Ovis aries: one gene and its partners. The protein of the gene in region 2 interacts with the protein of the main gene of each other region in a pairwise test. Links are inferred from orthologs where the notes say so. Each region holds a gene or a part of one and is shown on either strand. Other genes may lie near its edges.

Region 1 (3,650 bases), on a different chromosome or scaffold from region 2:
TTCCCAGAGAGTGTGACGGGCAACTAGACACAGACTCTTCTTTCTACACTAGTGGCAACCAGGAAAAACATCCATGTTGTAGAACATGCTACCCTGAACAGAGACATTTTCTTTTTAGTTTCTTCAACACTAAGGTTCAGAGATATATAGTTAAAGGTGTCTCTCTCTTCCATGGCATAATCTGTTCAGTTGAAGCTTCTTGCCAAGAAACATATCCCTTAGGAGAAAACTCTGAAAACAGAACTGCAGAGGCAATTAGCTTTACTGTAATTACTGTACTTGCCTAGCAACCACCATGCAAATGCCTGGAATCCATCATTCTCAGCTGAGCTGGACTGGGAAGTCTAGGAAATAAAAAAACATATGAGGTACAGAGACCAGAACTACATGCAAGGGGCCTTGATACAAGGAAAATATTTATGTCACCCATTTCCCTCCATAATTCTCTTTCAAAGATGTAGATCCTTGTATTACATGAGTACTTACATTTATTGTATCATTAATAAGTACCTGGGCATCCCTGGTGAGGAGTGAATAGAAATCATTTGTGAACAGACTCTTACCACCTGCTTCGCCGACATGAAAGTGCAAACAAATATCCCCACAGACACCAGGGCAATGGAGGTATATTTGAAGATACTGTATCTGCAAAAATAATAAAAAGAGCACAGATATGAATTTCCACATGATGCTGACAGTAAAGTGTGGTTCACGAACGTACAGATCACCAAGACATGATCAAGGGGATCACTTCTCAGCAGAGTCCACCTAAGTCTGTGCGTGAAAGAATCAGGATACTGACTCGTTTCTAGACCACACCCTTTCTGGCGGTGTCCAAGACTTAGTACATCAGAAAACTGTTTCATCAGACTGTTTCATCAGAAAACAAAAAAAGACAGATCAGGCACGACAGTCCATTCTGCTCTTGTGTCTAAATGAAAGTCTGACAGATCTTAATACGGAATTCCTGTTCCTTTTCCTGGTTTCTGGGGCCCAAACATAGTGTGAAGAGACACAGCCTGCAGGGGAAGAACAGGACAGATGGACTACCAGGACAAGCAGCAGGATTCCACCTTCAGAAAAGAATTCAACTGTCCCTTTTCAGGGGAGGGTGCTGTCTTAATGTCTCTGAATGACTTAAATATTGTTTTTAAATGTGGGCATAGTTGGATAAAGCGAGTAATACTAAACCAATAGGACTGTTAGCAGGAATAACGGTGGCATTTCACAATAACTATAATAGTATCAATTAACATCCCTTTCAGGCTCTTGGTGAAGCAAAACGCTTCCGGCGACAATAAAAAGGTGTTAAAACCTTCAGAAAATCTGAAATTTTCTACTGAAATATTTTGTATAGTTCTGGTCACAGCGTGTCAGAAAAAGGCCAAGGGGTGACTAAGAACCGGCCAAGGGGTGGGGCAAGGAGCCAAAAGCACCCCTCTAGAGAAGAGGGGTGGGTGAGGAGACAGGCACTGCTGCCCCAGATGTATAAACAGACGGGAGCTCTTCAGTCTGCAATGATCAGAGACAGAGGTCTGAACAATCATGAAGAACACAGTTAAGGTGAATAGAGGTTTGGTCTATAGTGGGGAACACATATAAACTTGAAGGGGTACTACTCAAGATAAGCAAAAGGAGATGCTAAATGACTAATCCATGATATAGATAGTTAGCTTAGAGAAGTTTCTGCTCTCTGGGTAAGACCTACTGGACTGAGTCAAAAAGAGAGAGAGATAACAGACTCAGAACAGGTTCTTAAGGAAAAATTGGATGTTTGATAAAGGCCCCTGACATTTGGGGTATGTCAGAATATTAATGCATTCCTTTTATAGTAAATTCTTCCATATCCCTGCTATGCACCAAAATCAAAGGTTATAAAGACCACAGGTCTGTCCCAATGTGAATTTTACACTACCAAGAAGCACAGGGGTCACTTCAAAGGTAATGAGCCTGAGCATTATCTCTGTGTGCTTGAACAGAAGAGCCTAGAAAAGCAATCAACTACGAGGGTGTTCTCATCTGGGGAATATATGAGCCTCGGGAGATAAAGAGCTCATCACCAGGAGCCAGCAGGATAGGACAATTATCCTTTTTATGACCCAGTCCTTTTTACTTAAAAAACCCTAGGTTCCCATGCTGAGCTGACAGCTACTTTCCAAGCTGGTACAGAGTTCCAGTACTGGGATTGGGTATGGACTACATTGAAAAGCTGGCACCAACTCACATTTTTGGTCCTAACAGTGAGGCTGAACTTTCCCTAAGAAACGTTCCGGCCGGTATGTGCTGTCTCTGCCCCTTGCCCCTCCTCCTTGGGTGTGAGGGGTGAGGCTCTGAACGAAGGTGAGACAAAAATCCCTGGAAACAGCATCCCAGGTACTGCTACTTTTTTTTTTAAAGATTGTTTTTTGATGGAGACCATTTTAAAGTGTTTATTGCATTTGTTACAATAGTGCTTCTGTTTTATGCTTTGGGGTCATGTGGGATCTTAGCTCAACCAGGGATGGAACCCGCACTGCCTGAATTAGAAGGTGAAGTCTTAACCACTGGACCTTCAGGAAAGTCCCTCATGTACTTCTGATACTTCCCAACTGTACCCAGAGTGAGCTGCTCGTGATAGCCACAAACACCAGTCCTAAAACTTTTCCTTGCCTCTTCTTGGCCACTTGGGCCTTTGTTAGGAATCTTCTTTGTAATGGGTATGATTATTCCTTAGTTCACTATGCTGTATGCTTCCTAGGAGAGCCCTGTCCCACAGAACTTTGGTAAATCTGGAAATGTTCCACACCTGGGCTCTCCAATATGGTTACTACTAGTCACACATGGCTACTGAACATTTAAAATGTGACTAGAGAGATGGAGAAACTATATATTTAATTTTATTTACTTAAAAAAATTTGTATTTATTTTACTTTATTTTACTTTACAATATTGTCTTGGTTTTGCCATACATCAACATGAATCCGCCATGGGTGTACATGAGTTCCCAATCCTGAACCCCCCTCCCACCTCCCTCCCCATACCATCTCTCTGGGTCATCCCAGTGCACCAGCCCCAAGCATCCTGTATCCTGCATCGAACCTAGACTGGCGATTCGTTTCTTACATGATAGTATACATGTTTCAATGCCATTCTCCCAAACCATCCCACCCTCTCCCTCAGAGTCCAAAAGTCTGTTCTGTACATCTGTGCCTCTTTTGCTGTCTCGCATACAGGGTCATTGTTACCATCTTTCTAAACTCCACATATATGTCTTAGTATATAGTCACATGTAGCCAGTGATGACCATGCGGGACAGTAAAGTTCTAGATCAATTGCTTCATAAGTTACTGTTGTTATTTAGTTGCGAAGTTGTGTCTGACCCTCTGTGGACTATAGCTTGCCAGGCTCCTCTGTCCCAGACAAGAAGCCTGGAGTGAGCTGCCCTTCTCTTCTCCAGGGGATCTTCTCAACCCAGGAATTGAACCTAGGGCTCTTGCATTGGCAGACAGATTTCTTTACCACTGAGCCACCAGGGAAGCCTGGCTTCACACGTTAGTATGGTACTAAAGATTTAATGACAGGAGTCTATTAATTCTACACAGAGAAAATGCTGCTCCAAAGGCACAGGTGGAGCCTCTTCCCTGATCCACTGCCTCAGGAATGGGCCTCAC
Region 2 (3,650 bases):
CTTCCCTGTCCCTCACGGAGTTACCATGCCATGTATCCACTTCCTGGGCTCCCCAGTTTCAGGACTGGCACGGCCAGGGGAGCAGAGCCCCACCCCCAAGGAAGCCCCAGGGCAGGGCTAGGGTCTGCCTCGTGCTCTACCTTGTTCTTGATCTTCCTCCGGACTCTCTTCAAGGCCTTCTCCTCGGCTTTGGTGAGGGGGAGTTTGGTGGGGATGGGGTAGCCCTCAGCAACCAGGGTGCGCTTCTCCTCCTCCGTCAGGAGCAGCGGCCCCGACGTCCCCTGTAATTTCTGTGGCAAGGGGGACATACTAGTTAGAAACCAGACAGCCCTGCATTCAAATCCGAGCTCAGCCATTTACCCTGGGCATGACCTTGGCAAGGCACCCAGCTCGCTGAACCTCAGTTTCCTCATCTGCAAGAGGGGCGGATCTGAATTAAATCCAGTAACATGTCACAAGTGCTGAGGATGTTGCTGGCAGCCTGGCATGTTAGGCCCTTAATATACTGTTGGGAAGGGCTGGTCTCTAGATCCCATCGTGGAATCCACAGCCTCAGAGCTTACTTGTCCAGGGCCCCGTGAACAGCACCCACCTCGGACACCTAGCACCTCTAGACTGAGGGTTCCTCAACCCGTCCCAGGGCTCCTGGGCCTCCTGAACTTTGCTCTGCAGACAGTGCTCCTTGGAGGCAGCCTGGGCCGTCCCCCTGGAGGTCAGGAATGTTAAGCTGTAGACCTAGCTTGGCCACCAGCGGGTTCAGCAGGCCTCCTGGACTCTTCCTGTCTCCTATTCATCCCCAAGCACAATTAAAAGATCTTCACTCCCATCTGTGGGGCAGGCGCCTCCTGTGTTCTGATATGGGTGGGATCAGGTTTAGGGCTCCCCCCAGACACTGGATTCTTCGACTCTGGGGTCAGTCCGGCCCCAGCCGCTTACGTGAGGGGCGGTGAGGAGTGGAGAGGTGGAGATGGCCGTGGAGGAGCGGGCCATGGGCCGGATAGGGCTGGAGGGGGGCAGAGAGCGGGGACTCTGGGAGCCGTCGCTGTCGCTGCCGTGGCTGCTGGGGGGCGTCGGGGGCATCTGCAACAGGTCCTCTGCGGGGAGTAGGAGAAACCAGGTTAGCCGGGCGCCCCAGCTCCGGGCAGACAGAGTTCAGCACAGCGGGGGCCTAAGCCGGTCCCAAAGGCATGTGGGCAGACTGCTCCGGCCTTGACCCTAGAACGTCAGAAGACACCCCCCACCCCCACCCCTGGACCCTAGCGTGTCAGAAAGTAGAGTTGGCATCCCAGAAGACAATATCTGAAGGCCATGCCCTCTCTGACTCCACCAAGCCCAGCTCCTTTAAACCCGATTCTTGGTGGGAATTCCCTGTTGGCTCAGACGATAACGAATCCCCCTACAATGCAGGAAACCTGGGTTCCCTCCTTGGGTTGGGAAGATCCCTTGGAGTAGGGAATGGCTACCCACTCCAGTGTTCTTTACTGGAGAATTCCACAGACGGAGGAGCCTGGTGTAGTCTGTGGATGGGGTCGCAGAGTTGGAAATGACTGAGTGGCTAACACTAATACTTGGCAGGGATAACACAGAGGTTGGATTCTCGGGGCTCCTTGTCCCTGGGTCGGGAAGATCCCCTGGAGAAGCAAATGGCGACCCACTCCACTATTCTTGCCTGGGAAATCCCATGGACAGAGGAGCCTAGCGGGCTACAGTCCCTGGGGTTGCAAGAGTCGGACACGGCTTAGTGACTAAACCCTGACTTCACAGGGCTCAGGGTCTGTGACACTCCAACTTGGCAACCCCAGGAGATGACTAGAGTCTGCCCACAGCGAGACCCACGGGGATCAGGCAGGGCAAGCGGCAGCCTCTTTTCCTTTCTTTCCATTTCAGAACACCAGGGTGTCTATTTCCCACCTCAGGGTAACAGGGCTTTCAGCAGACCCGCCAGGAGCACTGCTCTCCCCAGCATGCCTTCCCTGCTGCCTCTCTGGGCCGCAGCATCGGGAAGAGGCCTGGGCCAAGCCCAGAGGACCAAGAACCTGGAAGGCTGCAGTCCCTGGGATGCACAGCGTCGGACACAGCTGAGCACGCGTGCACACACACGTGGGAATCTGGAGCCCACTGCACCGCAGAGCTGGGCTGAGACTGGGAGGAACCACTGCGTCCTTCCGGGCTCTGCCCCCCACCGCCTCCTACAGGAGGCCCCTCTCTCTTCTTTGGTGTCATCTGCCTCTCGTGGATGCCGTACTGTAAAGAGCACTGAACTTGGAGTCAGACCTGAGTTCAAGTCCTGACTGTTGTACCCCACAACTATGTGACCTATATTCATGCTTACTTATCACCTCCCAGCCTCACTTCCCTGTTTAACTGGGGGTGGAATGACTCCCTGTATGGAGCTGGGAGGATGCAGTGGGCTGATGGATGTGACTGTGCTTTATGATGTAAGGTGTTTTCACACTGGTCCCTTTCTACCTCCAGTTAATTCTGTCTTCTGTCAGAGGTTGTTGTGAGTAACTTGAGGATGAAACTTGGGCCTTGTTCATCTTCCTGAACCTTGGGATGGTTAGCCCAGAGCCTGATACACAGTTGATGCTTAATCAGTGTTGGATGAATGAATGAGGTTGGATTGGAGAGATTAAGTTAGTTCTCTCTCCTGCTCAATCTGAGAAGCTCCCTCTGTTCTCTCCTGTCAGATCTGGGGAGGTGTTTCCTGGGATCTGTCATCTTTAACCCATAACACAACTGTATAATTTAGTGGTTTGTCCGTGACCCTACTGTGTGAGCTCCTTGGGTACAACGACTGTTTTCTCTCTCTGTGTCCCCAGTTCCTGGAACTAGGAGAGGCCCAATGTACTCTCGTTGGATGGGTGGATGAATGGATAGATGGAAGAATGGACAGATGGACGGATAAATGAGTAAAAGGATGGGCTGATGGCTACGGAGAGGACCTCAGTTAGCGAATGATGGGAGGGGAAACTGGCAAACAGGGCGAGAAGGTGGCGATAACAGTGACGACAGCTGTAGAATGGGTAGGAAGGGGACTGGAGGGCCGGAGAATGGGCACAGAAGGGAGGAGAGACTCACGGGGAGAAAAGGGACGTTTTGAGGGAGACGGGGCTGAACTGAGGGGTAAGGAATGCGGTCTGTCCAAGACTGGAGACGAAGAGCCCCCCTCCAGACACACTCACCTGGTGTCACTTTGAGGAACTGGTTCACCTCCTGGGGCTCAGCTTTGATCACTGGCAGCTGAGTCATCTCTCCTGGGGCCTGCGGAAGAGGCAGGGCTCCAACAGCTGCTCCGGGGGCCTGTCCCCACCAGGCCCGCCAACTTCCCTCCCTCCCTGGGCCTTGAGGCGGGGGGTGTCTGCCCTACAGCATTAAGAAAGTAGCTGGGCTCAGGGTTCCAGGCATATCCCAGAGGAAGCAGAGGCACGTTCCTGTGTTTAGAGAAGGCAAGACAGGCCTCAGGGAAGAGAGTGGGGGCCCAGGAACATCCTCTAGCTCCCGAGTTCAGGGAAGAAGGGCTTCCCGTGGCCTCTGAGCCCAGGGCCGTCTTGTTTGGAGGACAATGACCCTACACCGACTGTGAATACCATGCAGGCCTGGGTGTGTGTGTTGCCATGAGACCCCCATAATGTAATGTCTGGCAGATT
Region 3 (3,650 bases), on a different chromosome or scaffold from region 2:
TGCTTGCTCCTATCTCATTTTTGAAAATTTTCAGCCTTGCCAACCCAAAGCAGAAAGACATAGTCTCCATACTCTGCTGTCTCTGTCCAGGAGCTTCTCGCCAGCATTTCAAGTTTAGAAGGAATCTATCTTTTTACCTTTCAGGATAGCTGTCTCCAAGCTATCCCAGGACCATTTATTTGCCAAGATCATTCAAAGACAACTCACCAGGGAAACCAGTGTGGCTGCAGCCCCCACAAATGCAGCAATAAACAGATGGAAGGTCATTTGGAACTGTAAGAAAATGCAGAAGAACTGGGTCTTGCAACTTTCAGAAGGTGCTGATATTTCTTTGTGTGTTAATTTGGCGTCTCTAACTAACTTATCACATCCCAGAGTATAGGCCTCCCATTCTTCCGTGTACCCATAGCACCCAGAACATAGAATACTCACAAAATAATATAGTCCTCCCAAATAATCAACTGGTTCCCCACGGTTGTGCCTGGGATCGCAAAACATTTTGCTTTCAAAGAAATAGTTTACTGCCTTCTTCCTTCCTTTTATTCCCCTGCTGCATTTGTGCATAATATCCACTTTCAATACAGTGTTTTCCTTTTTCAAATGTACTTCCTTTTTAAATGAGATTGAGAAGTTCCCAACAAAATATGTGTTATAAAATCTATGAATATCTGTGCACAACTCATTTCCTTGATAAGGTTTTTTAGAATAAAAATGTTCACTTGGGGGATTTTGCCATTAAGCTCTATCTTTACCTAAAGCTACAAATTTCTCTTTTAAGAGAGGAAGCCTTAGAATGGAAGATTTTATCTGCTGTTTTTAGGAAACTAGATATTTTACCATGTATACGCTCACTGGCTCAGGCGATATTTCATAGAAGGCAATCTGCTAACTCAAAACCCAGCAAAGAGAAACTGTAGTCCTAAAAATCCAAGATGGATAGAAATGTTACAGTTTGGGCGATTTGACTGTAAAATAACCCAGTGGCTCACTCACCTCAGCTGTTTTGCAGATGGACAGAAGGTTGGAGCCACACACCTTGCCAGGGAAAGCATTCCATGGGAGAACACCTAAGTAAGAGACAAATATCACAAGGTAAGCTTCACAGAGCTTTGGGGTTACCTGGAGAACTTCTTTCGTCTTTAATCATCCTGGCTGAAAAGTTGGGTCCTGCTAATTATCAGGATTTTCTTTTCTAAAGATTTACTCAAAAAATAGAAGGTGGTATTGAACAGTTGCAAACTTTTCTGTTTGTTATTGAAATGGGCTGCTTCTGGTTTCAGAACAGCAGTCAACTAAGAGAGGAGTGCAAACAGCCAAGAAAACTGCCACCACTTCCAACAAGTTCCCTTCTCAGGGAAGAAATCTCTCTGGTTTCAGTGGAGAGGGATTAACGAACTAAGATCCAAGCACCCATACTTCTTATTTCTCCCCATAGTTACCACCCTCCTTAGCCTAAGAACCAAATATATCATGCTTCGATAGGGAGTAGGAGGGCCAAGCCGCCCTAACTCACCATACATTCTGGCATCAGCACAGAGAGTGCCTATACTTGCAGAGGTCTTGCTGGGGGCAGCAATAGACTGGCAGGTGGTCCAGGTGTTGAAGTAAATGTATACAGGCACAGCAGAGCAGGCAAACACCAGGAGCCACACAACGGTCAGGGCATAGGTGATGCCCACAAACTAAAACAATTGACATGGAGCGGTTAGAAATCAGTGTCAGTCTGCAGACATTGAAATGTAAACAAAGAGATCCTGGAATGGCATGTGCCAGACATGAAACCAGATTTCAGGGATCTCCGCCAAATAAAATTAGTAAGCGGGGCACCTTTGCCAAATGTCATTGGCAGTATCTTATCTACTAGAGAATTGGCCCCAAGTAATGACGGGGAGGGGGAGAATGGGTGGGGGTTGGAGTGAGGAGGACCCCTGGGTTAGAAAGGCTTCGGGAGATTGTTTTGACAGAAAAGGTGTGAAGAAATCAAAAAAGATCTTGAAAGAAAGTCGTGCCATTTAAATGCCTTAGGCTGAGCTTAGAAAATGTCCCTTGTCAAAGGACTTTGGATCCCTAGTTATTGAACAAAGCCAATAAGAGATTTCAATTTCCAATCCAAAAACCTTTCTAAGCCAACTGCTAGCCACAAAAGATAACAGCACAACCCCCAGATGTTCAGCCCCCAAATGGTCTTTAACTCTAGAGGCTGGAAACCAATGTGTACCTCACTAGAAGCATAATAGCCCTCTGACAGATAAGGCCTTAAACATGCAGATCTATGCTAGTTCCCTCTGGGACCTTCAACAATGTAGGATCCCAGAATAGTATGGATTCCATCTCAGAGTCAATTTCTATGATCCACCCTCCCTGTCAGATCAGGAACCTACATCTCAATCCACTGAGTAACATTTCAAATTCTTAGGCAGTCAGATCTACTCTTGTTGTGGTCCCAGCTAGGAAGGGATCAAAGAGGTACCGGTAGATGGCTTAGAAATGGTCTGATTGTATGAAGCACCCCACATAACTCAGGCTTTCCCTTTTGAGATGAAATTTTCTAGGGACATTTTGAAAAGTGAGGCTAAGCCGGCTGGGCACCACGTTCTTCCTGACCTTCTCATTTGGCCGTAGCCATCAGGTCCTCACTCAGAAGCCAGGCCCCTAGAGAGGACCCAGCCTTGGGTGGGGATGAGGCCACAGACTCATGCCCAGTTGTCCCCCACCCCTTGTTATTGCCACAAAATCCTGAGGATGATCACCTTGTCGGGATGTCCTAGCCATTTTCCCAAACAATGACACACCCGCTCCAAAGAATGAGCTTGATGTTGGCCTCTGGAACCCCTCCCCTTCTGGCCCCCTGTTACCGTTGCACTCAGGCCCTTGCCGCAGATGGTGGTCTTGTAGTCGCCAAAGATCTGCCTGACTGCGCCGGTGGTGTAGAAGCCCTCGGCCAGCAGGAGGGCCCCATAAAGGAAGAAGAAAGAGGCAGTTCCATAGATGACATACTGGAAAGCATGGATCCTGTGTTAACAGATAACACAAAGCCAGAAAATCTTATGCATGGAGGACCTGGTTCCCTTGCTGCATAAGTCAGTTGGACTCTTGAATAGGCTCCTAAACAAGGCTAGGGTTGCTTTAGGGGAATCACTAGGTTCTTCCTTTAGGCTTCTACCTTGTACTTATTGAAGTAACTGGAGAAGGGAATGGCAACCCACTCCAGTACTCTTGCCTGGAGAATCCCATGGACAGAGGAGCCTGGCGGGCTACAGTCCATAGGGTCACAAAGAGTCAGGCACGACTGAGCAACTAACACTTATTGAAGTAAAAGAAGATGCTCCTCCCCCACATTTGGCTTACCCTGTGACCTGAAGAACTGGGACCCTACTTTCCTTGGCCTGACCCTTCAGAGATGCTCCCTCAGAGGAGAGAGGAGAGAGGAGCTAGGTAAGAAGGAAGACGGATGAAGGAAATAGAGCCTAACTTGCTCTAGAAACAGGAGAGGCTTAGTACTGGGCCAGAGCACACTCAAGTGGTGTGGTGAAACGAGAGCAGCGGCCGGCCTCTTGTCTCATCAGTCTGCCTCCGGCAAGTTCTCTATATGGACCACTGCAGAGGCTCCAGCTCAGTCCATGTGAACCCTACCTAGCAGAAATGAGAAC

The links. The genes of interacting proteins can lie anywhere in the genome.
Region 1: the proteins of CREB3L1 (region 2) and SLC35B4 interact in binary tests that used the Homo sapiens proteins (3 or more experiments, as listed by UniProt). The two-hybrid records come from large-scale screens. The link is inferred for Ovis aries from reciprocal best matches to the Homo sapiens genes CREB3L1 and SLC35B4.
Region 3: the proteins of CREB3L1 (region 2) and PLP1 interact in binary tests that used the Homo sapiens proteins (3 or more experiments, as listed by UniProt). The two-hybrid records come from large-scale screens. The link is inferred for Ovis aries from reciprocal best matches to the Homo sapiens genes CREB3L1 and PLP1.

Annotation. Positions count from the first base shown.
Region 1 is NC_056057.1:99,624,491-99,628,140, forward strand, and holds part of SLC35B4 (nucleotide sugar transporter SLC35B4), read right to left. Parts: intron 646-3,650; coding exon 564-645; intron 345-563; coding exon 284-344; intron 1-283. UniProt on the Homo sapiens protein: Antiporter that transports nucleotide sugars across the endoplasmic reticulum (ER) membrane in exchange for another nucleotide sugar.
Region 2 is NC_056068.1:75,243,600-75,247,249, reverse strand, and holds part of CREB3L1 (cyclic AMP-responsive element-binding protein 3-like protein 1), read right to left. Parts: intron 3,265-3,650; coding exon 3,186-3,264; intron 1,095-3,185; coding exon 937-1,094; intron 291-936; coding exon 141-290; intron 1-140.
Region 3 is NC_056080.1:129,387,430-129,391,079, reverse strand, and holds part of PLP1 (myelin proteolipid protein), read right to left. Parts: intron 3,013-3,650; coding exon 2,751-3,012; intron 1,683-2,750; coding exon 1,514-1,682; intron 1,068-1,513; coding exon 994-1,067; intron 274-993; coding exon 208-273; intron 1-207.